Linked DNA regions of Diceros bicornis minor. The protein of the gene in region 3 purifies or fractionates together with the protein of the main gene of each other region. This does not show direct contact. Links are inferred from orthologs where the notes say so. Each region holds a gene or a part of one and is shown on either strand. Other genes may lie near its edges.

Region 1 (7,016 bases), on a different chromosome or scaffold from region 3:
TAAAGGGGAAAGGCTGGCAGGCCTTTGAGTCTACTGTACACCAAGCTGCAGATACAATGAAGAAGGGAAACAAACCTTTACCAACTCCAGGGTGCAAAGGCAGCACATGGGGTGCACGGACATATTTCAACACCCTTCTCATTGTGGGGGAAGGGGACTGTCTTTCTGAGCACAGTCTTACGGATGAATGGACAGCAGCCAGCCTCACACTGGTCACTCTGCATGGTCTCAGGCCTCGAGAACCTCAGAGGAGGCCTGCGTGGCTTGTGAGGAGATGAGCACAAGACTGAGTCACGCAAGTGGACAGGGATTCCAGACTCCAGGTCAAGAGCACCAGGCAGCGTGCTGGGCGGGAAAAACCACCGGCTCCAACTCACGTTGTAAGAGGATCACAGTTTCCACTTATAGAAAACAGACCTCAGTGACAGCAGGAAGACTCTCGCTTCTTCTGTACAAATGATGGCGGCTTGGACAGAGTAAGAAACATCAAGTGGAGAAATGTGGCTTGTCCTCAAAAGCCTGATTTTCAGAAGACTGAGCGTATATAACACTTCCAAAAAGCAGTTCAAGACTTAAAAACCCAAACATTAAATACTTGCTAGTATCATTACGTATCTAATGGGACTCTGTGAGTTTTAAAAGATGCCATATAAACACAAGTTAGCAGAAGTGACAGAAACGCATACATGAGGACCAGGCCTCAATTTTGTTCCTAGAACACTCTACTGGACTTAGGTTCCTCTTATATTATAGATTACACTTGTCTAATTTTCGTGGGTCAAAAAGAGTTATACCTCCGTTTATGAATCTAAGTTTAAAGGAGTGATGAATGCCATGTTTATGTGTGTATTTTGTATGCTGAAATTCAAGATGTAAGAAAAGCTATCGAGGGTCATGTAAGCTGACCATTTCAACGTCTACCACATGGTCCAAGGCAGAAATCCACAACTCCATACCTACAGTAGGCAATTCTAGTTCCAAGTAAGATGGAAGCTAGAGTGAATGGTGGATTGCAAACCTAAGAACATTCAAATTCAGCCAAACAGAACACTGCTCCGGCCCAATAAAACCCGAGCTAGTGGGCTGTTCGAAACTCCTCGTTGAAGGGAAAGGCTCTGGCACGAAACAGACCTCAGCAGGAATTCCCGCTTCCTCCAAGTGGATGCCTGTGGCACCCACTCTTAAGGACTCTTGATTAAATGCGATAATGTAAAGTGTTTTATACAATCAGTGACTGATTCGCAGACCGGAAAGTAAGCTAAATTAGCTGATAACAATGCTAACACGTGGGCTTTCAGGTGCCAGGCATATTCTCATTTAATCCAATGCCAGTTTAAAGCCCATGTTGTCAGGCTGGCCCCGTGGCTTAGCGGTTAAGTGCGCGCCCTCCACTGCTGGCGACCTGGGTTCGGATCCGGGGCGTGCACCGACGCACTGCTTCTCTGGCCATGCTGAGGCCACGTCCCACATACAGCAACTAGAAGGATGTGCAGCTATGACATACAACTATCTACTGTGGCTTTGGGGGAAAAATAAATAAATAAAATTAAAGCCCATGTTGTCAATCTTAGCCCACAGCTGGGGCTTGTTTATGACACTTGTGCCCAAAGTCAAAAAAGCCAATGGAGGGAGCGTTCTCACCATCAGAGAAAGGAGGCTGGACCCCAACTTTTCTGTATTGGGTCTAAAATGAAGCCAGGGACTTCCATGATTCCATTTCCACTTTAAGTTACGTTATATCTTGGGGGGATCCAGATAGGGGTTCTTCAGCAAGACACATCCCCTCTAACTGTGGTGAAGAAGTGGTTGGAACCTTAAACACCCAGTAGGGAGACCCCCACACACACTCCACTTTGAAAAGCCCAAATCAGAACGGGCCTGGCACAGCCATAGAAAACAAGCACAGCGAAATGGCAAAAGCGGGGTCACCAATCCGCTTGGAAGTGTTCAGTCTTGGTCAAGGTTCCCGTGATCAGCGTTCCAAGCGAGGGGTACAAGTTTTCAGGACTGAAATGGGAGCCCTTCTAGAACAAGAAGGGGGGGCCCAATGGTCGTGCCACTGACCCATGTGCACGGCATTGCTTGAGCTGGTCCCCAACATCAGCGACCCCAAACTGCCCCCTAAATACACACACTGGAAAGTGCGGCCAGTTCTCCCCAGCAAGGCTTCCTTGATGCCCACGGCTCATGGGCACAGATTTACTAGAAAAGACCATGCAGCCTTCGCGCTGCCTGAGCCCTGGCCCTGCGCTGCACGGTACGAGTTCCTTCCAGAATGTGACTTCCCAGCAGTCCGAGACGATGGCGGGAGCCCCCCAAGGAAGACGGGGCTCGCAAACCTGAGCCGGCCGCGCCCGGGCCCCGACCGGCGACGTCCGTCTCTGGAAGCCGCCATCGGGATGCGCCGCGCGGGGGTGCCGAGGGGGCCCCCCGAAACGACCCCGGGGACCGGGCCGGCACGACCCCCCAGGAGGGCCGGGCACCGGAAGCGGAGGCCGAAGTGCCCTGCCGAGGGGTGTCCTGAGGCCGCGGGCTGCCCACTTCCTGTGCGACCAGGCTGGCGGCGGGAGCCCGGCCCGCGGCTGCTCCAGGAAGGGGACCCCCGAGGCGACCCCAACGCTTGCTCTACTTTGAGGTCAGAAGAGACCCCAAGTTCCTAGGCACCAGGGAGCTGTGAGGTGCCTCGGCCCATTTTGGCGCCAAACGGCCAGGGGCGCGCGCGACCGGAAGTGCCACCCTGCCCGCGCCAACCGCCGCCGCGCGCCGCGCCACCCCGCGCATGCGCGCCCGTCTGTCAGCGGCGGCCACAGGCTACCCGGCGGGGAAGCGACCCCCCCCAGCGCTGTGCCACCCCCCGCGTTCGCGGGCCCCCGTGGCACTTACCGCCTGCGGACATCGTCGGGCAGTGAGAAGGCCCGGGAGGCCAGCGCGGGCACCCGGGCTGGGGCGGTGCGGGCAGGCATCTTGGAAACTGCAGCAGAGGCGGCAGCAGCACAGACAGCCCTGGCTTTTCGCGCGCGCGGAAACCGACGGGGAGGGGCGGCGAGCGGAGGCGGCGCGTACCACCTCGGCCTGGGCGTGGGGGAAGGCGGGACGTACCACGCGGAGAGAGGCCGTACCATGTGCGGCCGGACGTAGTGGAGCGGGACGTGCGCGGGGGCTGCGCATGCGCGAGTCAGGCGCACACCCCCGCGCGGAGCAGTGGGTTCGTCCAAGCTCCGCCGTTTGCCGAGAGCCTTGCCCGAGACATTCATTCATTCATTCTTTCCCGCAGGCTGGGGATAAAACGGGGAGCATTCCCACGAGATTCAAGCCTGTGGGCTTTTGAGTTAAAGTCCTCAGTTCCAACCCCACCACCACCTGTTTGCTCACTCTAACGACCTTGGGAGGGTCATTTGGACCCAGCCTCAGTTTCCTCATCTGTAAAAAGGGGCTAATACCACCTACTCCAGAAAAGCTTGAGGCTGCACAGAATATGTAGCTAGCACCAAGGATCTCACAGTGTGGGGAAGCCCGGACCACTTCCACATCCTGTGTATTTAAAAAAGTACTAGAACTTGGGGAAAGGCTAGTCCGTTTAACAAATGGTGTTGGGAAAACAGGATATCCAAATGCTAAAGAATGAAATTGGACCCTTACTTTACACTATATACAAAAACTCAAAATGGATTAGACCTAAGCATAAGACCTGAAATGACAGAACTCCTAGAAGAAAACATGGAAATGCTTCACAACAATGAATTTGGCCGTGATTTCATGGATATGACACCAAAAGCACAGGCAACAGAAGCTAAAATAGACAAATGGGGCTACAAACTAAAAATCTGCACAGCAAAGGAAACAATCGACAAAGTGAAAAAGTAACCTATAGAATGGGAAAAAATATTTGTAAACCATTTATCTGATAAGGGATTAATATCCAGAATATATAAAGAACTCTTACAACTCAACAATAAGGCAAATAACCTGGTTTAAAATGGGCAAATAATTTGAATAGACATTTCTCCCAAGATACACAGACGGCCAACAAGTTTATGAAAAGATGCTCAAGTTAAGTCATCATCCGGGAAATGCAAATCAAAACCACAATGAGCTATCCCCCTTACGCCTATTAGCATGGCCATGATCAAAAGAATGAAATAGGCATCGGCGAGAATGTGGAGATTAAGACCCACATGCACTGTTGGTGGGGATGTAAAATGGTGCAGCTGCTATAGAAAAATGTGGGGGTTCCTCAAAAAATTAAAAATAGAATTATTGGGGCCGGCCGGTGGCTTAGCGGTTAAGTGCGCACGCTTCGCTACTGGCGGCCTGGGTTCGGATCCCGGGTGGGTGCGCACCGACGCACCGCTTCTCCGGCGATGCTGAGGCCGCGTCCCACATACAGCAACTAGAAGGATGTGCAGCTATGACATACAACTATCTACTGGGGCTTTGGGGAAAAAAAAAAAAAAAAAGGAGGATTGGCAATAGATATTAGCTCAGGGCCGGTCTTCCTCAGCAAAAAGAGGAGGATTGGCATGGATGTTAGCTCAGGGCTGATCTTCCTCACAAAAAAATTAATAGCTATTAATTTAATATGGAATCAGCACTTATGTACTGTACCAGGCTCTTAAGAGTTATTTAATTTCATCCTTAACAAGCATAAAGGGGGGGGGTGTCAGGACCCCATTTCCCATGGCCTAGGATATTTGTCACAAAGGAGTCTGGCTCAGAGGCTGCTAACCCAAGATCATAGACTCAGTAAGCAGCAGGGACCATGAATCCTGGTGTCTTGAGCTCCAGAGCCTGAATGCGAAAGAGAAACCCCAGGGTTGGCCAGCTGTCAGGCCCCTGGGAGGCCAAAGGGACAGCATTGAGGGAACCGGGCTGAGGATGGGGACAGATAGAAGAGAGTCTGGCCAGAGTGAGGCTCAGGACCCGTAGACCTGCTGGAAACCAGCATCTGGGCCCCTAAGCTGCCTTAGGAAGAGGGGTGCTCACAGGATGGGGGAGAGAGGGGACACAGACAAGCAGACCTGCTTGTCAGGGCCTCAGCTCTCGGAAGAGCAGCTGCATGTAGTGGCAGGATGTCCTCTCAGGCGGATCTTCTTTGTGATCCCTTTGTCAAGGGATGATTCGACCCATTTTACAGATGGGGCAAGGGCTCAGCGACATCAAAATTTGCCCCACTTGGTGCCAACGTTGCTGATCTGCTCTCAAGGTGCTGCTTCAGACCATCTCTAATTCCTCTCCTCCCCTCACATGCAAGAGGTGAGCAATCTCTGTTGGTTCCTCCTCTAAAATACAACCCGGGTCTTTCTGCTTATCCGCTCTGCTGCCTCCTCAGAGATTCCATCATCACTCCATCACTTGCCTGGACTGTTCTAGTAGCCTCTTCCCTGGTCTCCCAGACTACAGCATCCAGAGAGCTTTAAAAAAAAAGGGGGGTGGGGGGACATATCCTTCTTCTCTTCTCTTCCCCACTAAAACCTTGCAAAACTTCTCATTGCCCTTCAAATAAAATCTAAGCATTTTACTCTATTTACAGGGTCCTTCCTGGATGCATCTCATCCCGCTACCACCACCACCTCACTGAGCTCCAGCTTCTTGATTCACTTTTAGTCTTTCAAGCTCTTATGTGCCCCAGGGCCTTTGCTTCACTTCTGCCCAGACCACTCTTCTGGGAGATTCACACAGTTCCAAGGTTGCCTCTACTCAGAGGCTTCCCCCTGACCTCTCACTCTGGCCTATTACCCTGCTCCTTCATAGAGTTTACCACTGTCAGAGAGTTTCTTATTTACTGTCATCATAGTATGTCTATTTCACTAGAGCAGAGCAGGGGTCTGCACATTTTTTCTCTAAAGGATCAGTAAATATTTTAGGTTTTGTAGGCCACACGTTCTCTGTTGCAACTCCTCAATGCTGCCATTGTAGCATGAAAACAGCCATAGACAGTCAACGAATAGGTATGGCCGTGTTCCAATAAAACTTTATTTACAACAACAGATGGTGGGCCGGATTTAGCTTATGGGCCTTAGCATGCTGACCCCTGCAAAGACTACGAGCTCCAGAGGGCAAGGACCTGGTCTGCCTCGTTCACAGCTGGCCCTCCAAGGGCTCACTCCGTAGGAATCCAAAGATTGGTTGAATATATAGGACGTAGGAGGTGGCAAGCAGGTGCCTGATGTACAGTGAAGATGCAAAGGTTGGTGGGTATGAAGCTATTTTCTCCCCCACAACAATGGATTTCCATTTCACAAACAGGGAAACTGAGGCCCAAATCAGAGAAGGTTGCAAAGCCTCGTTTGTCTCTAGTCCTTGAGTCATCCACTTCACTCAATTCACCTGACCACTAGAAATGTCAGCCAGAGCCATGGGGAGAGGGATGCTGATGGCTTCCGGGAGCCTCCAGAGTGACTGGTTGGACCACCAGAGACCTCCACCTAGAAATGGGCTCATCCCTTGAGAGAAGGGACTGGAAATTCCAGAAGCAGCCAGGTTCAGCTCTCAGGTGCATTTACTCCACCTCCACCTGTTGGTCTCTAAAGTAGTGTTCATGAACCCCTGACATGAGACTTGTCAGGCCCACCTCCCTGCTTCCCAGGCCGTATTCCAGCCTCCAGCTGGAGGGCCACACTCCAGGGGCCAGGAAAGGCTAGGTGTCAGCCCCGAGCACCAGGGCTAGTGGAGAGATGGCCACATGTCCTGGGCCACAGTCAGTCAGAAAGCCAGAGCTGAGTCATGCCACATGCTGGGGCATTAGTCACGGCAACTGAGCTCTCGCTTGGTGCCAGGACCAAAGGAGGCCCCAGATGGCGGCAGCAGCACTCAAGGGTTCGATGGGGACACTTTGCCACTCTCGCCCCAGGCAGGGGCCAGGCAGGAAGACCAGCAGGGCAGGCTTCGCAAGCTCCCTCTCTGGGCTCAAGTGACCAGGAATCAGATCTGGGGAAACCAACTCTGGGGTGTGCTGGGTGGACCTGCCTGCTCCTTGTAGAGCACTTAAGCAGGCTGATGGCTTTCTGTACGGGACC
Region 2 (7,117 bases), on a different chromosome or scaffold from region 3:
TGCCAGCTTTGTGATCTTGGCCAGTTACTCTACAGGGCTTAGAATAGCGCCTGGCATGTAGGCAGCACTGTGCAGTGTTAGCTGTTAATGTCACTATTTCTGAATAATAGTATTGGATCAATTACTTCTGGGAAATGTCACCCTCTAGAACGGCATTCAAGGACCTCTGCAAGATCTCAGCTCTACTTTGCAGTTTCCTTCTCTGCTATACACAGACACACACACCCTAAGTTCTAGCCTCAACGGGCCACTCACAGCAACCTTGAAAATGTCGTGTTGTAATAATACAGTATTATATTATCCACTATCTGTCAAATGCTTATTGTATGGCTGGCACTGTATAAAGGTTTACACATAGTGTCTCGTATCATTTCAAATGCTTATTGTATGCCTGGCACTGTATAAAGGTTTACACATAGTGTCTCGTATCATTTCTATTTTATAGATGAGAAAACTGAGGCCCAAGAGTGTGAACTGACTTACCCAAGCTAATAAATAGGTTGTCCATTTCTGAACTTCTGTTTATAGAGTGTTCTCCTTGTTTCCGTTCCATTTCTACCATCTAAAACACTATCTTCTTTTAAAGGTCCAGCTCCAGTGCCATCTCCTCCAGGAAGCCTTCCTTGATCCTCACCCTTGGTACAGATAATCACTCCCTTAGTGCCTGGGGCTCCTGTCTGTGGCACCTAATTCCATAGGCATTTGGTCGTAGTAATTGATCTGGATGTCAGTTGTTCCCACTAGACTGTGATCAGTTCCAGGGAAAAGATAAGGTCTTGTCCATCTTTATAGCCAGCATCCAGCCTGGGGTCCTGAACAGGAAGACAGCACTTATGACTCCCCTCATTTATACCTTTGAACTCTGCAGATGATGGTTTTTTTAGGTCAGTTCCAGCTTTTAATACCCTAGTCTTTGGTCATGCCACACACGTTTAGTCCTGGGTTGAGGTCTGAAAATGATGTCTGACACATAGTAGGTGCTCAATAAATGGTGGTTTATTCTTAGCATTTTCTGACTATCTGGAAAGGTCAGTAAGGGGTCAGGCAGATTCGCAGCTATCAATGTGGGAGGACAGGAAGGGAAATGCCTTCTCTCTAGTGGGCAGGTACTGACCCCTCTTCCTTAAAGGGCTTACTGAGCCCATCGTACAGATGTGAGAGGCTCAGAGATGTGACAACAGCCACCCAAAGTTGCACAGCCTGTCTTGGTGCCTGGACAAAACCTCTAAGATCTCAAAGACCCTGTCTGTGGACAAGGAAGGATATTCCTTCCTGAGGGGCAGAGCCATTGTTGCTTATAGGAAAGAGAGCTTTTGTGGACTGCTGCTGGGAGGATGGGGCTGGGTTTTCCCTGCTCTCACCTTCAAAAAGTCTCTAGATTCAAAGCATTTTTCACAAGTTTTACACACACACACACATTTGCTTGCTTCTTATCTCTCTCCTCAGTAAGGGCGGGTTGTTGTGTGAATGTTTAGCTCAGAGTTCTGTCCCCAGCACCCAGAGCAGAGAGAGCCTGGCTCTAAGGAATGCCACATAAAGTTTGTTGAATGATGAATGAATCCAGAAGGCAAAGCTCTTACATTTCTGCTATTAAAATCCTCAGCTGCAGAGGCCCGCACCTACATCCATGTCTTCACCAGGAAGTTTTTTTCCCTTCCTCTTCCCAACCCTGGACACTCTTTCTCTTGACACATGATATCGTGTATCAAGTACAGACCCACTGAGAATAGGTTCTGCCCCAGTGGAAAAAAAGAAAAATTTCACCCCTTCCCACCCAAGCAAAGGCAGATTTGTACTGATGTGCTCAGGCCTCCTTCCAGACCACTGGCCTGGTCATTTGTCCAGCCTCTTCCCACCCTACCAGGCCCTGATCAAGTCCCATTCGGATTTTGCAGGCCTGGACTCCAGGCGGCTCCTTCGGTGGCTTTGCACATTTCTCCCCTCTAAGACTAAGTGACAATCTTGTGTTTAGATGTGGGGAAGCTAAATTTTTTTGATTTACTAGAAACTTGGGAACCATCTTTGACTGTTACTCTCTCACCTCCCACATCCAATGAATCACAAATTAGACTGTCTAAATTTTTTTTTAATCAAGCCGCTTCCTCCATTTCCATGGCCACCACCTTAGCGGCCATCACCTCGAAGCTCTCCTTGCACCCACCCTCTAATCCTTTTCCATTCTACATCCAGAGAAGTGTTTTTTTTTTTTAAAAAAAAATGTCATTTGAACCAAGGCACTTCCCTTTTAAAATCTTTCAGCTCTACCCTTTGATCTCAGGATAAAGTCCAAAGTGTTTCAAGTCTCCAAGAGCAGGCTGTCTTTTCCACCTCCCACAGCACCATGGGCTGTCTTGCAGTCTCGGCTCCAGCCCACTCCTGCCTCAGGGCCTTTACACATGCTGTTCTCCCTATCTTCACTTACGTAACTCCCTTCTCTTCTCAGTACAAATGTAGCTTGATAATAATAACAATGATCATCTACACAAGTGATTTATGTGTAATTTATGTGTATTAGCTTATTCTCACAAAAAACCTACTGAGTAACTTTATTAATTTACTTACAGATTGGAAATCTGAGAGTCAGAGATGTGAACTAGTTTGCTCAAGGTCATACAGGTAGGAAGCTTCCCACTAGACAGTCAGCTGCATGAGGTCAGGGACTGTGTGGGCTTTGCTCATGGGTGCCTGGTATTCACTTGCTTTTTTAGCAAATATTTATTTACACATTTAGTGTGTGCCATGTTAGGCACTGTTCTGGGTTCCTGCTCCCATGAAGCTTATATACAGTGGGGAAAAGACAGACACCAAACAGGTAAACTTAGTATATATGAACAACATATACGAACAACATAATGAATAACACATATATGAACATATATGAACAACATATATATGAACAACACCATTTCAGGTGGTAATAAGAGTCAAGAAGACAGTGGTAGTGATTAACAGTGCTGGCAGACTACATTAGACCACTGGGTGCTTTGGGAAGGCTTCCCTGAGGAGAGGCTCTATCCACAGAAGGAGCACTCCATAAATGTTTCTTGATTTAATACACTAACTAGAATATAAACTCCATAACGGAGCGGACTTCCTCTGCCTTGTCCACCATGGTATCCCCCAGCACCTATATCTGGCATTGGCATAGAGGGAGCCCTGATTAACCATTTCTTTGAATGAATGAATATATAAATACATGTATTTCTTCATTCCTTTACAGAAATCAGTGGTCTTCAATGGAAGTGTCTGTATGCCCTTCGGTAATTTCTGTTTTTGGTTGTCACGATGATGGGGAGGGTAGTTCATGGCATTTATGGAGGAAGGAATGCTATACATCTTGCAACACATAGAGACAGTCACACATAACGTAGACTCATCCCATATACCACATGACTTTCAAATGACCTGCCAGATCCTCATGTAGATGAAAAAATCTTTTTATAACTCTTGGAGCCTAGACACTAACTCCCTCTTCCATAGAAACAGAAAGTATTTTTGCGCCCTTAAATGTCAACTAAATTTCCAGGAATGCCACTACCATGCAAATAGAGGGATGATTGCATTTTGTTTCATTGAAGCTTTACCAAATTTATTTATCTTTCCAGAGAATCCAATCACCCATGGATACTACTACATTTGTAGCCGTCGCGTTCTGGATGATTCTACCTCTAGGTCCCAGTAGTCTGAAAACTTCAGAATGTCTTCTCCTGTATTTGGGCCCAAACATTTCTATACTGAACCACTTATTATATAATTATAATTATTTTATGTCATCTTTATTTCACAATACATTGATTATAAACATTAGGCGTGCGGGTGGGTTAAATTATCTGCGAGTTCTTTTCCCGGAGGGGAGGGCGGTTTCCACTCTAAGAGTCTGGAAAGCGGCCCTTGGGTCCAGCGGAGGCCCCCGCGGAGCGGTCCTCCGTGCGCCAGGGGTCGCTGTGGCGCCGCGCGGCCGCGCCGGGTCGCTCTCGCGTGGCCGCCCCGCCTCGGGCCCCCGGGCCGAGTGGGCGGGCACGACTGCGCCCAGGTCGCGAGGCGCCCTTCGACCAGCAGCGCCCGGGGCGGGCGGGTATAAATGGAGCGGTGGCTCCGTCGGCCGCCTCTCTCCGCCCCGGGTTGCCGCAGCCTGCGCCGCTTTCGGGCCCAGCAGCCTGAAGAAAAAAAGAGAAAAAGATAAAAAAAACCCGAAAACGCTTTAAAATCTAAAAAAAAAAAAAAAGAAAAAGGAAAGAGAGAAAAAAAATTGAATCCTCCTCGGAGAACCCGCGGGGAAGTCACTTTCGCACGCTTCCGGCCTGCCCGCGCCCGCCGCCGCCGCACCTGGGCGCCCGTCGGTCCGGTCCGTCGGTCCGGTGGTGAGCCGCCCGCGTCCACGCGACTCCGCTCCGGCCGCCCGTCCGCGCCGCGTGGCAGCCCCGCGCCCGCCGCCCTCGCCCCCCTCGCCCCCCGCGCGCCGGCCTCCCCGCGCACCACGTGTCCGCGCTGCCCTTCGCCGGCCCGGCGTGGGAGGCGGCTGCGCGCTCGGCCCGCCCGGGGCTTGCCGAATCGGCACCGACCAATATTTGGTTTCCCTCTTCTCCTGGCCGCTGTAATCTTAAACCGCCAGCAGCCCGGGGCCTATATTTATAGAGAAACGCGTGTCCTGGAGGCCGCCGTGGGCACCATTTGGTTGCCACTTGAAGAATTTTTATAATTTGGAGGGGAGTCCCCATTTTAATTTTTTTTTTTTTTTTGGAAATTTGGAGCTTCAGACCAGGACAGCTGAAAATTACAAACTCCCAGGGAGGGCCATATTGTTTTTGCGAGCCTTTTGTCTGTGGTTTTGCAGTCTCGTGCGAGCCGTCCCTGAACAACTCTGGGCGGTCTTCTGTCTCTCTGAGCCGACTCCAGCTTCCCTGAGCTTCCCTCTGCCACCTGTGAGCCGCGGCGCGGGCCACGGCTCCGAGAAGAGCCCCTTTTGTCCTGTGGGGTCCCTCTAAGAAGTCCTCCTGGCGGGGCTCGGGGTGGTGGGGGCTGGGGAGATGAACGCTGCAGCCAGCAGCTACCCCATGGCCTCCCTGTACGTGGGTGACCTGCACTCGGACGTCACCGAGGCCATGCTGTATGAAAAGTTCAGTCCTGCGGGGCCTGTGCTGTCCATCCGGGTCTGCCGCGATATGATCACCCGCCGCTCCCTGGGTTATGCCTACGTCAACTTCCAGCAGCCGGCTGACGGTGAGTAGAAGCGATGTCCACACATTCGTGGGATCCCAGGGGACCCAAGGAGTCAGCCTCCACGCGGGTCCCCACGCCCACGGAGGGGGCCTCAGGACAACACATTGCCACAGAAGCCATAGTGGGGAACAGGATGCGGGGGTTTAGAACAAGGATCCTGGCATCAGGTGACCCGAGTTTCAGTCCTGCGTCCACCACTTGCTAACTGGGTGACCTTGGGCTAATCAGTGGTGACTGTGGGGTTGGAACCCAAGGAGACCGTAAAGTGGGATCAGAGGGAAATGGTTCTCCCATTGTGTCTGTGGTCCTGCTCCAGTGGGGCTGGGCTGTTAGAGACCCTTGCCTGGTCAGTGGGCATGGGCTTGCGCCCCTCACAGGCCTGCCAAAAAGACAGAGTGGTTGAAACACAAATCCTGCAACAATTTTAGGTGGCAAAGCTGCTGCCTCTTCCCCTACCTTTACCCTTGACTAAGAGTCTTTGATTTTGTGCTGATAAGGGGTCTTTCAGGGCAGGTGGGAAGCAGGGGAGCAATTCCGTGTGTTCAGCGTGAGCGGGCGCATGTGTTAGCACCACCAGAGCTGCAGGTGCCAGGCCAGCTCCCTGGTCTGGGCGTTTGCTTGCCAGTGGGGTGGAGGAGTTCTTTGCTCTCTGGACAAAGCCCTGGTCTGTGGAGAAGGGTATCCAAGTAGTCTGGGGAAGCGTCGCTTGGAAATCCACTGGGCTGGTGGAGACTATCGCCTCACCTGTGAACAGTGCTTTCCAGTTGTCGGAACCTTTACTTCATCCCATCTGAAGAAAATAGAACTCCTGAGAAGGAAAAGGAACTGCAAAAGGTTGGAGGCTAAGCTGGGACCGTCAGTGCAGTGCTCTGCCCGTCCAGATTGGGGCCTTAGCTCAGAGCGGTGGAGAGGTATGCTGCAGGCGTGGCAGGAGTGAGGCCAGAGGAAACCTAATCGGGGGCTGCACGTGACTCCAGATTAAAAGGGAACAACTGTAGAGACCATCACTGGGAGAAACAAGCCATTCTGTGGCAAAGGATCTCCAGGTCCCTATTTTCGTCCCCACTTTGTTCACTGTCCGTGAAGCACAGAGAATGTCACTTGCACAGGACTGGACCTGTTGAGAGACACGAGGCACTGCTACCACCGAGTTCAGTGTGCTCTGAGCTGAGTGGTGTCTGGCCACAGGGCACAAAGGAGATAGCTGGGTGTGGCCTTATTAGCTGGGAGTAGTGGGTGCATTGGCTGTTGCCTCCTTCTTGACTCTTCTGAACAAAAGTCCTGTCACTTAGAGATAGTAGCAGAAGCCATTGGTCAATGTGTCTGCCAACACATACCTCTGCAGGACCTCTCTCTGCTATAAATAAGTGCAGTCAGATTTGTCAGACTAAGCCGACTTGCCTTCTGCGGCGCCGCCTGGAAATAGACGAGAAGCTGTGTTGAAATGGGCTCCTTCGCTGCTAATTAATGAAAACAGTTTGGGGGTCCCAGGCTGTGATCACAGCTGGCCATCACAAGCGAACTCTTCTGCACCTGGACTTTTCCTGACTTGGATCTGCTCTGTCCCCCCTTTCCCTGATCTCCTCTCCTCCCATACTGAGGAGCCCACCTGAGGAAGGGAGAAACGGTGGTGAGAAATAATAACTGAAAAGGAGATGCTCCCGTGGCTGCCTGAGCAGCTGAGCTTGTGGAGGCAGTTAGGGAATTTTGTGTGCTCTAAGTGAGATGGTGCCTTGAGGTGGGAGAAACACAGCTCCGCACCACTGGATGGAGGAGAGTCTGGCTGATATCTTCGCATAAGTCAGGGCAAGTGACCACCAGCTCTGTATCTTTTTACCACCAGTGAAGAGAAGTGTTCTTGCTGGCATATGATATATTTTAGCTTCTGGTCTTTTAA
Region 3 (7,811 bases):
ATTAAATGAGACATCCAAAATATATTTGTTCTCTGTAAACAACAAACTCTATGCTTTTAATAAGACAATGCCTCATGGTTTGGGATTTGTGAAAACTAATATTTTTTAAAGCTTGTAGAAATAATTGCTATAGACTGATAACCATTTTCAGCAGTTGAAGAGAAAGGATTTTTGAGATTTGCCCAAGCTATGAATTCTAAATACTGATTTCTTTTAGAAAAAATTCCTAAAAACTTTTCCTGATTTATATTTTGCTGTGCGCAAAAAGGTTAATGAGATTATTACATATGCTGCCACAGTATATGGTATATGTGACATTTGGACATGAAGAATCAACCCTAATTTTTTAGGTTTAACAACACAGAGAATTAATCATTTATTCAACCATGTTTCCACTTTCCTTACCTGATGAAGGATTCCTGGGTTTCACACACATAGTGAATCTGACTTTGAGAAATATTTATGGAATGTAAAATCTGTATAGAGAAATGCATGAAATTGTCATAGACCATGGAACAAATATGGTGAAGGCTATGAACATAAGCATAATATAATTTGTTTACACCCTTCAGTTTTATTTTCAGAAAATGGTTATAGTTTAAAAAGATGTAACAGAAAATGACTGGCTGCAAGCAGAAAGATTATAGACCACTTCCACAATTCTTCTTCAGCCAATAACAAATTATGATACACGAGGGATTTTGAAATTGTCTTGTCATGTACATACACAAGATATTTAAACTAGATGGGATAGCAGCTATTACATCCTTCAAAGGCTGATGGAATCAAGAAGGCCTTAATTTTGTATTTTCCAGAGAACATTACCAACGTAGCAAGACTTACTAATAACCAATGGTTGCCTGCAGAGCACACAGGTTGTTTGTCGGAACTTGCTGAATAAATTGGTGTGTCTTGAGAGTGCAAGTATTTCCTACATGACTCCTGCTGAAAAGATCTTCCTTTGATTCTACTCCAGGGCGGATGCTGAAATTGGTGTGCATACAAGGAAAGCTAAGATGCAGATGGAAACTTCGATTATTTTCTTAACTTGAAAACCAATTAAATTGCTCCGTTTTCACATTTCTAGATCCAAACTTTAAGGACAAAATTTTCTCTAGTGATTGTGTAGAGCGGCAAGAACAGAAAAAAATATTAGAAATCAGAAATAAAAAATATAAACAAGCGCAACGATCTTAAATCTGCTTCTGAAAATATCATGCATCTTTTTGAAACAGTGCACAAAACTCCAGTCACTGAAATTGCTTCAATGAAATGCCATCAACCATCCAAAAAGTTTTCAAGGCTAAAAATTAAAAAGGAGAAAAGTCTTTACCTTAATAAGCTCCTATTAGAAAAAGGAACGTTTAATAAATTGGTGGCAATATCACCATATTATACTGGCAGAGCTAGCCTTGCTTCTCCATGGAGCTCAGTTGAAAGTATCTTATTTAGTAACGCAAATGTCCCTGTTTAATGGTCTTGGGAGCAACCAACAGTTGACAGGACCGAGAAATTACTGTTCTTGACCTTATAAGGTCAAACTGTAAAATTTTAACTACTACATTTTTAATAATAAAATTATAAAAACGAATTTCCTTCCCAAGAAAATTCAGATTTTTTCCAGAAGTTCATTCTGTTATGGCGACATTCTGATTCAGAGAATAGCAATTTTTAACTATCAAACATTCACCATTTGACCAAAATATACATTCAGGTAGATCTCAAATTACACACTGCAGGTGTAGCTACAGTCTAAAAATAGCTGGTATGCTCAAGAGCAGGTGCCCCAACAGGATGGTTCTCATACTTTTGTGATTTATAGATAGTTTGTTATGGATATTGACTTGGTTCATTTGTTGAAATACAGGTTTGGGAGGACTTTGATTCATGTTCACATGTTTGAAATGAGGACTGTGCTGGAAACTCCGGGTTATTGCGGCCGTCTTGCTATAATATACACTCTGCCAACCTCCACAGACAACACTTGGTTCTCTCCTGTCCACTAGCACAGACCCAGCAAACCGAAACCTCAGTCATCCGAGACGTAGGACGACTAGAGAGTTTTGGTTCTAACACGGGCCACGTGGGACGTGAACCGCTTCACCTCGGCAGCCACATGTGCAATTTCTGCAAATGACGAACATCTTCATCACAGATGTCTGCCTCTCGGTCACTCACTCTAGGCTCACTTGGGCCCTGCCTGCCCTTCGGCTTTCGCCCTCCGCCTGGTTCCACCTTTCTAGAGTGGGCTGCCCTCCCGCCCTCCCGCCCTCCCGCCTTGCTTCAGGCGGTGTCTGCGAATGTGGCCGCCAGGAAGGACCCCTCCCCAGACGAGCCCTGGTTTGAGGCCCTAAGCTCGCATCTGGGGAGCGCTCTCGGGGCGTGCGAGGAGACAGAGGCACCGGCTCCGTGGAGCAGACCCCGCCACCCGGCCGAGCCGACCCAGCCGCGGGGCGGAAGTGGCCGCTGGGGCCGACAGGGGGCGCGCTGCGCGGGGCTGCGGCTCGTCTAGGCCGGAGCCGTTCCGGCTGCGCTCGGTGCCCACAAAGCGCCAGCTGAGGGGCCGCTGCGGGCCGAGCGCGGCTGAGCCTGCCCGCCCCCGAGCTCCACCGGCCGGCCGCCCCGCGCCCCCGTCGCGACCCCGCGCTCCGAGTACCGGGCCTGACGGCCGCGCGAGCCCGGGCGGGGAAGGCAGGGCCGGGCGGGCGCCGCCTGCGGAGAGGCCGGGGGCCGGCCTGCGTGGGGCCGCGCGGCGGCGGCGGCGGCGGCGACTCCGGCCGGGCCGGACAGCGCGGGGCCATGGCCGAGGCGGCGGCGGCTCCGGTAAGGCGGCCCGCGCGAGCGCTGCGAGCCCGGGAGGGTCGGACCCGAGGGAGGGAGGAGGGCGGGAAGCCGGCCTGTCAGGCGCGGGGCCCGGAGCGGGGCGCAGCCCGAGCGGCCGAGCGCAGACGGGCGCCCCGGGGTCCCGCGGGGAGGGCCGGGGAGGGCCCGGTGGCCGGGTGGGACGCCGCCGCCGCGGGGCTGGGAGGGCTCGCCGCCTCCCTCCGTGAGATCCCGCGCCGGCTGCGAGGCCAGGGCGTCCCAGCCCTTCTAGAGGCTTCTAGCGGGGAGAGCCTGGGACGCTCCTGAGAGAGGATGCGTGAAGAGGGGTGCCTCCGCTCGGTGTCCGCGCTCCACAGCCCGCCAGACGCAGGCGGGGGCTGTGCGGTCGTCAGCCTCGGCTCTGGGAGCCGTCCTCACAGAATCTCCCGCAGCGCGGTCCGCCTGAGCCTCGCTCAGCCACGGAGGCGGTGGTGACGGTGACACTCGGTGTATTGAAGGACTGCCCAGCACATGCCAGTGCCGGACACACAGGAGGGCCTCGGTCGGCACGCTGCGGGAACGCGGGCCGGGTTCCGAGGGCGGCGCGCCTGCTGCGCGTCTGTTCATTCAGCCGACGTTGACCGCAGGCCGCTGACCGCAGGCCGCGGTGGGCCAGGCCCCCCGCCAGTTGCTGGTGCTGCAGAGATGACCGAGGCAGTCCCTGCACCCCCGACGCGGGTAGCATGAGCGGGGACCAGGCGAGTAACAGAGGGCTGAAAAGTATGCCCTGGATTTGCCAACTGAGAAGCCTTTGGTCACCCCAAAGAGAGCCATTTTAGTGGTCAAGCTGTGCTACCGAGGAGTGACTGGAAAGTGAGAGGAGGAGGAAGAGGAGGAAGAAGAGAGCCGCATCAGTGGGGTGGGGAATAGAGTAGAGGGGAATACCATCTCTGCCCTTGGACCTGTTTTTCCTTTTCCAACCTTTTTTTTTTTTTAATATGGTAGAGATGATCATGCGTCTATGCTAGCCCTGTCCAGTGGAAATATAATGGAAGCCACATATAGATCTTTAAATTTTCTAGTAGTCATGTTTAAAAAGTAAAAAGAAATAGATAAAATGAATTTTAATGATATTTAACCCAATGCATACAAAATATTTCAATGTGGAATCAATATTAAATTATTAATGAAGTTTTACATTTTCCCCCATACTAATCCTTCAAAATCTCCAGTGTATTTTACTTTATTTTTCGTGTGTGAGGAAGATCGGCCCTGTGCTAACATCTGCCAATCCTCCTCTTGTTTGCTGAGGAAGCCTGGCCCTGGGCTAACGTCTGTGCCCATCTTCCTCCACTTTGTATGGGACACCGCCACAGCATGGCCTGACAAGCGGTGCGTCATGCACACCGGGCCCCCAACCGGAGAACCCCGGCCGGCGCTGCAGAGCGCACGCACTTAACCACTTGTGCCACACGGCTGGCCCCTCCAGTGTATTTTATACTCACAGCACATCTCAATCAAAACCATATTTCAAGTACTCAGTAGCCACATGTGGCTACCATATTGAACAGTGCAGGTCCATCTTATGGAGAAGAATCAAGAGAGATTGAAATATTGACCATAAAAAAGAAGAAGAATGTACCTAAAAATGTGGAAAGAGTTGGCATTCAGAGCTTAAGTGGAGAGATCAATTTTAAATAGAATGAACCTTTTTCCTGTGGGAAGGAAAGAAGAAAGCAAGATTAAGTTACTGATGAGTTTGAAGTGGGAAGGAGTGTGAAGAAAAAGAAGAGAAAGTTGAGAGAGTTTGGTCTAGTTACTCTAATTTTCTTCTCAAAGTAGGAGTCCATGTCATCTCCTCAGAGTGAGGGGCCCTGCAGTGGACAGGCATCTTACTACTCAACGCATGTTCCCTGAGCCAGCAGCATCACAATCACCTGGGAGCTTGTTAAAACTGCAGGATCTCAATTTTCCTCCCAGACCTACGGAATCAAAGTCTGCATTTCAACAAGATCTCCAGATGATTCTTATGCACATTAGTTTGAGAAGTGCTGTACTAAAATTTAAGGAGAGTGCGGGCACAAGGGTTCTGGTGGCCACTAGATGGAATGGGAAAAGAAGCATGGGGGCACCAGGCAGTGTTGAGTCCCTGCTGAGCTTAGACACCATTGGTCTGTGGTGACACCAGTTTACCCGGTTCTGTGACTTCCTTTAGTAGGGCTTACCAGCCTGCTAACAGGAACAGAGAATGAGAACGATCGGACTGATTCAAAGCTAGGGGTTAGTTGAGCAGGTGAGGCACAAAGACAGATGAGTGAAGGGGCTGAAGGTGGCTGAAATGATCAACCAAGGAAGAAAGGAAAGCCTGGAGCAGGCTGATAAACCAGGAGCAAATGGAATGGTCAAGGGTTTAGTGGGATTGGAGAGCAGGTGAAATGAGAAAAAGGTAGTGGGTGAGCTGGAGAGATGGGAGGTGGTGGCCAGAGAGCATGTTATCAAATTCATAGAGTCGAAGGGCTTTGTGGAGGTCATGCCTGTCAAGCCTTCTGTTTTTTGTAGAAATTTCTTTTTTTTAAATGCACTCTGTTTTGAAGTACATTCAGTGTTAGGGCAGCCTGTTATTTTCTTGGAAAGATCTAGTTCTAAAATTATTTATATAGGCCAAGGTTTGCCTGCCTGAAAATTCCGTGTTGGTTCTAGTTCTGCCCTCTGGAGTAACACAATATAAGATTAAACAAGCCTGTTCTGCTTTCTGTTTATAAGCCTCAAATGTTTGAAAATAGCTGTCATGTTTTCTCCAGACTCAACATTCTCAGCTTAAGTATTACTGAATGGTATGGTTGTGGTTTGTAAGCAGGGTGGTGGACAGGGCCACAGCATAAGTCAATAAGGGGTTTATCAGAGGGCACTGAGCTCAGTGAAACCTGGAAAGATCCTGATGCACTTAGGCCTTTTCCAGAGAGAGAGGATGCAGCAACAACTTGAGCCTCTGGACAGTTGGCTCTAGAGCCTTACATCCCAGGGAATATGTCAGGCTGGTTCTTGATCCAGCTTTACTCATTCACTGCCTTACCTAATCCATCCCTGAACCACCAAAGCAGTTCTCTTGGCTTTTGATGCCAATGAGCTCTATAAAGACGAGGCTTATGCAGGTGGTACTAAAACTATATTTAGATTAATCTCAGCCGGCCAGTTTAAGCGGTCCTTATCTGATTTTAGTTTGGATTAGGGCTCCTTCTAACACTCAGTGTCTTGTCTCATCTCTCCACTGCACACAGACTTCTGAATGGGACTCTGAATGCCTTACGTCCCTGCAGCCCCTTCCTCTTCCCACACCCCCAGCAGCAAATGAGGCACACCTGCAGACTGCAGCCATCTCCCTGTGGACAGTGGTGGCCGCCGTGCAGGCTATAGAGAGAAAGGTGGAAGTCCACAGCCGGCGACTCCTGCATCTAGAAGGACGGACAGGGACAGCAGAGAAGAAGCTAGCCAGCTGTGAAAAGACAGTGGCCGATCTTGGGAACCAGCTGGAGGGCAAGTGGGCCGTGCTGGGGACCCTGTTGCAGGAGTACGGGCTGCTGCAGAGGCGGCTGGAGAACTTGGAGAACCTGCTGAGAAACAGGAACTTCTGGATCCTGCGGCTGCCCCCGGGTATTAAAGGGGATATCCCAAAGGTAATACCTTCACTTCTAGATGGAAAGTGGTCCCACTAGTCCTTACACTAGTAGTAAAGGATAGTCTTGGTCAATCAGTTAGGCCGAAGGAACTATGAAGTTGTTTTGTGTTTATCTATCTGGGGAGCATGCCATGTTCAATTTAGCGACCATTTGAAGTGTTGAACTTCAGGTTGGAAAACTCTTCTTAATCCCAAGTTGGCTATCTGGCAGATAGGTCTCTTTTGCTTTCTCCTGCCCATTACCCCCGAGTCACTTTTCCCTTTGTTAACCTGTCTGCCACAATCTTGGTGTGGAAACTAAATTAAATATCATTTAAATCAGTCAATTTGAATTTGTCGGCAATTCTGGTGAAAAGTTAGAGGGAGGAGAAGGGAATGTATGTAGAGTAAATGGTTAATATAAGGGTTTAGGGCCATCTGTAGGTCTAGAACTGATGTAGATCCTGCCGTTCAGCATCCTTCACAGAAGTGTGCTGCAATGCTAGGGCCCAGCCTTTCTGGAGTGAATAGCCCATAAAACAAAAGGAAATATACATCATTCCTAAACGATGGAAGACAGCCTTGAGCCAGCTAGTTTCCAAGCATGCCTGCTTATTCATTCATTCATTCAACACATATTTCTTGAACACTTACTATTTGCTTGATATCTACATCCTGAAGGCACAGCAGTGAACAAGACACTAAAGCTCCCCTGGAGTTTAAATTTTAGTGGGGAAAGAAAGATAACATAAACAAAGAAAAACTTATGTCCATTTAAGTGCTTTGATAAAAAATAAAAGTGCTATCTGGTGATTTATTTTAGATTGGGTATCAGAGAAGTTCTCATAAAGGAGCTAATATTTAGGTTGATACTAAATAACAGGAAGGACCCAACTGTGAGATCTGAGGAAGAGCTTTCCAGGCAGAAAGAATACCTAGTGCAAAGTCCCGAAGGCACAAAGAAACTAGGAACACTGAGGGAAAGGAAGAAGGCCAGTAGGCTGGTGTACAGTGAGTAAAGGGGCATGACTGGAGAAGTGAGGAGGAGGCAGATGGTTTAGGGCAGTGTTTTTCAGCCCTGGCTGTACATGGGAATCACCATGGTGGGTGGGGGGCTTTTAAAATTTTGATGGGCATCACACCTAGAGATTCTGATTTAATAGGTCCAGGATGGGGCTGAAGCAGTAATAATTCTTAAAGCTCCACAGCTGATTCTAATATGCAGCTAGAGTTATGAACCACTGGGTAGGGCATTGGAGACCGAGGTCAGAGGTTTGGATTTTATCTTAGGTGTAATGGGAAGAAATTGCAGGGTTTTAAGCAGAGGAGTTATACTGGCTTGTATTTTGAAAGA
Region 4 (7,767 bases), on a different chromosome or scaffold from region 3:
CCTAATAAATGATAACAAACATACCAAATTAACTGGGCAAACAACAGTTCTGCCTTATTCCCACTTTAGTTTAGGACTGACTTCTGGACTGACTTTCTCATATCCTGGCTTTTTCCTTGGCTTAGTCTGAAGCGCAAAGCATCATCTTGCTTTTTTCTTTCTAACTACTATCCATTGAGTGCATTTTACGTGCCAAGACCATGCTAAATGTTTCATGTATACTTTTACATTAAATCCTCATAAAGCCACTTTGAGTTAAGTATTACTATATTTTACAGATGCAAATCTGAGGCTTAGAGAGGTTAAATAATTTGGTAGAATTCAAACTCCAAGTCTTTCCGACTCTAGAGCCCAAGCTGGTAATAATGGTGCTATTCTGCCTCTAATAATATTCACCATTTGCTTTTAGCAAACTCAATTCAGATTACTTAGCATGTTTTTCAAGTTTTAGGGCATGCATGGGTGTGTAGAATTTCCGTGTGAGAAGTATTTAAAAAATTGGCTGTATCTTTTTCCTGAGCTAGGTTTCATGTGATAATTTTTAAAAGTAGAAAAATCCTTTTACATACAACTTAAAACAATAATGTCAAAAACAGTTCCTTAACCAGGTAACACTATTGTAAATAGCACGACAATTTATATTTCTTCTGTTACATTACACATTAAGTAACTGCAAAAGTCTCTTCAGCATGAAATTGTTCTTTTCCTTTTTTTGACTCACCCTGTCTACTAGCTCCTACTCCATCTGTTAGGGATTATTTCAACCTGTCCAGTTTTGAGCAATATTTTTTGATTCATCTTTGAAAATGTTATTTATTTATTATATAAGTATAAACACCTTCATTGAGGAAAATTAGAAGTAACAGAAAAGCAAAAATAAGAAAAAAGTCACCCATAATCCCACCACCTTGCTACAATGTAACTACTGTTAACATTTTGAGTAGAACCTTCCAGACCTGTTCCTTTGTGGAACTCTATTTATGTAAATAGTTTCTTTCTTTTCCCCCAAAATTATATCATTCTATTTCCTTACTCAATAATATATTAGGAGCATATTTCCATGTCAACAGATGTATATTTACATAATCATTCATAATGACTGCATAGTATTCCGTTTATGAATGTTTTGTACGACATTTTGCCAAAGACGACTTCTTGGACATTTGAGTTGTTTCTGTTAGGTTCTCCCCCTCTCTGAACTCTAACTGTCCTGAGTCCCATTACTATTCCAAGAATTTACTTTGGGTATATGCAAGAATCCCAAATTATTCTCAAACTTCCACCTTACAACAACTTCTATGTAGAGCTAAATAAATAATCTATCTGTACATACTAACAGAGCCTTAAGAGTGACAGTGTCTCCTCATAAACCCAGAGGGAACACGATGGAGACAGATAGCAGAAATATCTTTCAGTCATTTTCTCAATATGATTTACATTGTCAAGGAGGAAGTTCTGTGAAGAACAGAGAATTTAATAAAGGTGAAGTGGAAAGTTCAGGTTTGGAGCCAGACAGTCTGGGATTTGAATCTGGCTTCAATCTAGTCACTCACTAGCTGTGGGACCTCAGGTGAGTTATTTTAGCCTCTCTAAGTCTCTGTTTTATGATCTGTAAAATAGGGGTAATAATATTTATTTCATAAAATTACTGGGAAGATTAGCAATATCATACGTAAAGAACCTAGCACAGAGCCTGATACAATAGGGGGTGCTCAAGAAATGGTAGACATATACTAGCTATTACCACTACCGTTTCCTTAACATACAGAGCACCGAGGGAATACCACATTTTCGAAAATCCCACTATCATAAATGTCTTTAAGAAGAATGGTGAGAAAGCTTACTGATATGAGCAGAATGGTTACTATAGTGGTGAGCAAAATACCATGACCAGAATCCTGTGTACCAGCTTCTGAAGAACACTGATCTGTGGGATCGCAATGTGGTTTTAAGTCATACTGTGGTTTCAATGACAAATTTCAGATACAGGATAAGAGAAGGAACACCAAGCCCTTGACCTTGCCTTTATGAACTTTATAAAAATATTTTAAATACCACCACTGGACATGCCTTCTGGTAGCTACTAAACCAGTTCAGCTATGCAAAAATGACTATTGAATAACTTCTACAATGTTCACAATCTGCCAAAATGGACATATAGTCCAGTAGACTAGGATTCGTTTTGAGATTCCCAAATATGGCCCCAAGGTTCTCTATAAAAGTTTCCTTTGTTCTCCAATGTCAATGGAGTAGAGCAATTAAAGACCACTTCAAATGAAAAGACATAATAAGGGAAAGTAGTAGCAGATAGAGCAAGGTGTTGAGTAGGATCAGAAATGTTGTGACTCTTGTTGAACAAAGTCTACAGATCATGAATTTTTAGGCAGATTTGCAAATAAGGATAGCACGTGCTCTGTAAATAGCAGCTGTTGCCACAAGCCAAAGGGCAATATTTACATGAATCCTGCGGCAAGATCTATGGACCAAGCATTGACTTTTCCAGCCAAACTCATATACTTCGTAGCACTTTTAGCCGTGTCATCTTGAAAAGAAAGGATCATGTTATACATACAAGGAAAATTGCCAACGTACAACTATGTTCTGTCCCCCAAATTAATTTCTAAATTCTTTTTTTTGGAACTTGGAACACATGATACCACAGAAAAGGCATTATAAAGGGATGTGAGTTTCCCAGATTTCCTCACAGAAGTGCATTTAGCCCATGACGTAAATGAAATACTGTACATTTACAATGAGAAATACAATGGGACAAAGTACTTTTGCAAGCAGGAACACATCAATACACAACAAATATTTCTTGAGCCTTTGTCCTTTGAAGCCCCAGGCAATGAAAGGGGAATTTTATCCTCCCATAGCTGCAATTTGGTGAAAAAGAAATTCTCCACTGCCCTTGTCTGGAAGGGTTCTTCTCGAGTCAGGTGGATGCATGCATTGAAGCATCCTTCTCTTTCAGTGCTGTTTCAACTTTCCCATCAAACAATCCTTAATGACTGAGGAGATTGAACAGGGGTAGGATGTCTAACTGGAAGTCTCAAGCTTTTATTTGGAGACACTTGAAACTCCACAGTTCATTCCTTAATATATCTGCACATTTTAATAGAAAAAATCGTGTTTCAAATGATCACTTAAGTGACTTAATTCCTTCCCACTTTTTGACTAAAGTTGATGCTCCAGAAATATGAACCATTTTTATACTGACTGTCCCTATACCCATCGGATAGTACACATGTGTACTTCAGCATGAGAAACATGGGCACTGAGGGAAAAACTAAAGTAAATGAGAAGAACGTAACGCAAGTTAAATCAAAGCAAAGCTACCACCACCAGTCTCTCCTCTCTCGGTGGCACACTCCTTCAATCACCTGTGTCTTGCTTTTTGTCTCTTTTTCTCTGTTCAAAACCAGTCCCTGGATGGGATCTCACACTCATTCACAGTAGGCTGTAAATGACCAATAATAGCTAAAATGTCACAAGTTTTTGCATATTAAGGAGTCACACCTTTAAAACAAAGGGAATTTAGGGTATTATCCCCAAGAAAAAGGGATATATTTGGAGGACAGTTATGTGCCTTCCTGCTATTCGCAGAAATCACACTTGATTTGAGATTGGTAATTTAGGAAGGTGTGTTGAGGGAAATTAATCATAGTTTCTTTTCCCTTTGGAAAGTATTTGCTCCATTTTGGAAACCGTAGGTTTTGTGATTGTTGTTTGGTACACTGTTTCCTGTATATTTTGCTATCTGTTGTCTCTAATGACTGAAATTTAAAAACTAGGATATAAATCTTCCCATTATTGATCAAAATAAATGGTGAGGAGACAGAAACAATAATATTTAATAACTGACATTTGCATACTTTCGCACCCTTGACGATATAATTTTATATCCGTGATCATGTATATCATTGGTGTTGAGTTACTACAAAATAATAACGAATAGAACACACACGCAAAAAATCACGGTAATTCAATCCAATTACTAATATTAGGTACTTACCATGAGCTGCCCCAGGTTCTGTGGGGACCTTGCCCTTGCCCTTGCCCCCCCAGGAGTTTTAAAATTCAGTGGTGAAGGTAAAAGAAGGGCTCCTGCACATTGGCCATCTGAGACGTATCAGAGTTGAAAATAGAGCAAATATACATAAAACCAAGAGTCACGCTTTGCCTTGTAAGTGAATGTTTGCAGCTGCAATCAAGAGATTCGAGGAGTGCTTCTCCTGCAGAATTTACGAAGGTGGGAATAGTACCACCAATTCCCCTTTAGGGACTTGGGAAAGGGCAGTCCCCAGAGGGGTTCTGGGCTTTGCAAATGGTGAGAAAGACCTTCTACAGTACAGTTATAAGCAGAGGAAAAGTTCTTTGTGCAAGAAGGGGAGAGCGCCCCGAGGTACAAAGAGCAGATTTAAGGGAAAGAGGATTCCTTCTGCACACATCTGTGAGGGGAGCTTAGGCTGACTGTTGGGGGCGTGAGGGAAAGTAGATTTTTAGGGGGCTTCAGGCTGTGGGTTCCCGCCTCCACCCCTGTCTGCGCCCCACACTCAGGCAACAGTTGGTCGTGCGGGGCCGGCCCGGGCTCTGGGTGGGGAGGGGGAGTCTCGCGATCGTTGAGGGGGGGTGGAGGAAGAGGGGAGGGTGACGGGGGGGAGGCCATGACGTAGGGTGGGTGGACGGAAGTGGGGCAGGGTTGAGGGTTATTTAAAGAAGGGGGGGGCCGAGCGAAGGGGTTGAAAGCGGAGTGATTCCCCACCCCTGCTTCATCCAGCCTTTTCCAGTGCAGCCACTGCCGCCGCCCGGGAGCCCTCGTCCCTTTCCTCGTCCCCCTCCTCGTTCCCGCTCCAGCGCCATGGAGCCGGACACCGCTGCATTGGCAGCCACCGTGGCAGCCGCTGATGCGACCGCCACAATCGTGGTCATAGAGGACGAGCAGCCGGGGCCGTCCACCTCCAAGGAGGAGGGAGCGGCCGCCGCGGCCACCGCGGTCACCGAAGCCACCGTGGCCACGGAGAAGGGCGAGAAGAAGAAGGAGGTAAATAGGAAGGGGGTGTGTGTGGTGGACAAATCCTGTGTCGGGCCCCTCCGAGGGGCCCAAACCCTGACCTTTCGGCGCCGACAGGTACCCGCGGAGCTCGGCGGGGATGGGGGGCCGCGGGCGCGCGCGGGTCGGGGGGCGGCGGAACAGTCTAGCATTCGCTCCCCTCCCCCTTTCCTTCTCGCCGCCTGGAGGGCGGGGGCGGGGCACGGGCGCGGCGCGGGGTGGAGGGTGCCCGTTATCCTGGGGCTTGGGGGCTTGGGAGCCCCTCGACAGCCCCCGGCCCCCTCCACATTCCCGGAACTGGGGTAACGGGGTGGGGGATGGGGCTGTGCAGGAAAAAGCCTCCGCCTCTCCCTCTCCTCTCGCTCGCTCCCTCTCCCCCCCCTTCCCGTCGGCCTCTGCCTGGGAAATCTGGGCCCTTCAATCCCACACTCGCGAAAAAGGGGTTTTGCTGAGGCTAATTTGTTTAAATTTGAATTTCAAGGTGTCGGTGGTTGGGAGGCGGAGGACGATAGGAGAGACTTTCATTTCTTTGATTGGCAATGTCGGCCTTTTGGGTGGCAGGAATAAAAAATCATCCCTTGTTCGTTTGGTCCCCGCCTGCCGAGGCGGGGGTGTCACCCCGAGAAAATGAGCTCTCCTTGTCGTAACCCCCCCATCCAAACCCCAAACTGAGGAACCGTGGACGCTGGCCTAGGAAATTTTCCAACGCGTGCACCCTCACCCTCTCCTGCCCCGCCCCCGACGGTATAGTGTTTCACTCCAGGGCCACCCAAATGGTCCCCCCAATCCGGCCTCAAGCCTTCCAGGCTTCCGCCTCCCTCTCCTAGTGGGCGCTGCTGGCTCCTGGACACACGCAGGTTTAAAAAAAAAAAAAAAATTTTTTTTAACCCAACGTCGCCAGGATGAGCTGCTGCTAATGTACATAAGGGGACCGCTCTGACACCTATTAAAGCCAAATCCGGGAAATATGTATTATATCCATAAGGCGTTTTTTATATGGACCGAGACATGCAAATCAAACTGAGACACGTTAAAAAAATTAAGATAAAAAATAGGCTGGGGCATAAGGATTTTTGATGTACAATAAAATTGTGGAAGGGATCGTTTATGAGTGGATTTTTTTTCCTTTTACCAGTAGACATATTGCAATTTAAAAAACAGTAAGTAGTTAAAATTATGCTTTAGAGATCTCAAGTGGCTTTGTCTGAATCATTATATGATACTGTACGACCAAATGAAAAGCTTTTGAGGGAAATTAACACCTTTTGCCGTGAGTTAGAGTAATTTTAAATTCAGCAGTTGCTTAAGTGACATTTTACTGTTACAAGGTTGACTTAACAGAAAGATGATTGTAGTGGTAAGTGAAAACCATAGAAAACATACCCATTTTAAGATCTGTGCGATATTTGGATCAGTAAGACAATATTGATGATTAAAGCTGGGCCAAATACCAAGCATCAATATTAATCAAATGTTGGGAAATTCAGAAACGTCTCTAAGTGCCTTTTATTCCCTAGGCTGGGCAAATGTAAGTGCTAAACTGTCTTTTGTATGGCAGTAAATGTTGAATTTCTAGGTTGTATGAATTCTTTGAATTGTGAAAAGACTGGGGATCAATAAAAGCCCTATATAATAAGCATTGAGTTGATACATATATATTCATGAACTCTGCAGCCTAATCAGCAGTTGCCCTAATGGTACCTCATTTGTCTGCTCAGCGTAGGGAAATGAGGTTCTATATGGCAGGAACTTTCTGGATATCTGAAGTTTACTACTGTAGTAACTACATCTTTTTATTTTTATTTTTCCTTAAAAATCTAAGTAGTACCAAAACATGAACTTAAGTTCTTTCATTTGTATCATTTCTTCAAATTAATTTGGTAGTCCCTCAAATCTGAATACATTGTGCACTGCCTTGACTTCTTAAATGGTGTCCTAAAAACTCGAATTAGCCTTTTCCTCCTGTCCATCAGTTACTGTACTCTGACAGTGATACGAAGGCATTCAAGATCTAGGAGGTTGTTTCCCCTCAATTAACTAACCACCTCCCAGACACTTCCAGTATAGTGTTGATTTTTAAATAATTTTTCGGTCTCCTTCCTTGTTTGTCATGCTGTTAGCTATCACTTTTTAAACACTTCATCTACTTGCATGAGAATTTGTTTATGATAAAGGACACAGATCTAACAAAACCATGAAATCATTTAAAACTAGTATACAATACAAAAATACAGATGATGCAGCAGGGAGAGGGAAATAATTACACCTGAACACCAAGGAAAAGGGATGTCACTGCAGTGGAACTCATGTTTTAGTCCTGGGCTTCTGCCATCCCTTCTTGCTGTTGACAGCGTGCCTTCTTCTAGTAGTCTTTCTCATGTCATTTGCTGCTGCTTTTATTCTCTGTAGTATGGGAAGCCAGATTATCAAACTTGGTAGAATTGTATATCAAATAAAAGAAAGTAGGCTCTGAATGAGAGCATTTTCATGATGCATAAAGTAAACGAGATTTAGTGGATTAATTTGTGATATTTAGCTACAGAAAGGTATTTTTACTTACCTTCTGGTTCTTGAACTTATTTGATTTAAGTGACAGTTGGATAACCTAACACTGTGGAAATTGGAGTTGGTATTTTTGGTAATGAAAACGTCAAGAAAAAGGTCATGGTCTTTAAGACAGGGCATCTTGATGACCTTGTGCTGCATTCTCGTGA

Evidence for each region.
Region 1: the proteins of EZH2 (region 3) and DNMT1 purify together in Homo sapiens (affinity purification with western blotting; 6 studies listed by BioGRID and IntAct, with this or other methods). This does not show direct contact. The link is inferred for Diceros bicornis minor from reciprocal best matches to the Homo sapiens genes EZH2 and DNMT1.
Region 2: the proteins of EZH2 (region 3) and PABPC4 purify together in Homo sapiens (affinity purification with mass spectrometry, with the first as the bait; 3 studies listed by BioGRID). This does not show direct contact. The link is inferred for Diceros bicornis minor from reciprocal best matches to the Homo sapiens genes EZH2 and PABPC4.
Region 4: the proteins of EZH2 (region 3) and SMARCA1 purify together in Homo sapiens (affinity purification with mass spectrometry, with the first as the bait; 3 studies listed by BioGRID). This does not show direct contact. The link is inferred for Diceros bicornis minor from reciprocal best matches to the Homo sapiens genes EZH2 and SMARCA1.

Annotation. Positions count from the first base shown.
Region 1 is NC_080769.1:8,953,110-8,960,125, reverse strand, and holds the start of DNMT1 (DNA (cytosine-5)-methyltransferase 1), read right to left. Parts: upstream 3,010-7,016; 5' UTR 2,964-3,009; coding exon 2,884-2,963; intron 2,673-2,883; exon of another isoform or gene 2,396-2,672; coding exon of another isoform or gene 2,340-2,395; intron 1-2,339. UniProt on the Homo sapiens protein: Methylates CpG residues. Preferentially methylates hemimethylated DNA. Associates with DNA replication sites in S phase maintaining the methylation pattern in the newly synthesized strand, that is essential for epigenetic inheritance.
Region 2 is NC_080752.1:53,260,759-53,267,875, reverse strand, and holds the start of PABPC4 (polyadenylate-binding protein 4), read left to right. Parts: upstream 1-4,112; 5' UTR 4,113-5,027; coding exon 5,028-5,220; intron 5,221-7,117.
Region 3 is NC_080742.1:95,356,396-95,364,206, forward strand, and holds the start of EZH2 (histone-lysine N-methyltransferase EZH2), read right to left. Parts: upstream 3,012-7,811; 5' UTR 3,004-3,011; intron 2,824-3,003; coding exon of another isoform or gene 2,800-2,823; exon of another isoform or gene 2,554-2,799; intron 1-2,553. Other genes in the region: ZNF398 (zinc finger protein 398), read left to right, coding at 2,800-2,823, 6,081-6,476. UniProt on the Homo sapiens protein: Polycomb group (PcG) protein. Catalytic subunit of the PRC2/EED-EZH2 complex, which methylates 'Lys-9' (H3K9me) and 'Lys-27' (H3K27me) of histone H3, leading to transcriptional repression of the affected target gene.
Region 4 is NC_080781.1:118,323,933-118,331,699, reverse strand, and holds the start of SMARCA1 (probable global transcription activator SNF2L1), read left to right. Parts: upstream 1-4,760; 5' UTR 4,761-4,861; coding exon 4,862-5,044; intron 5,045-7,767.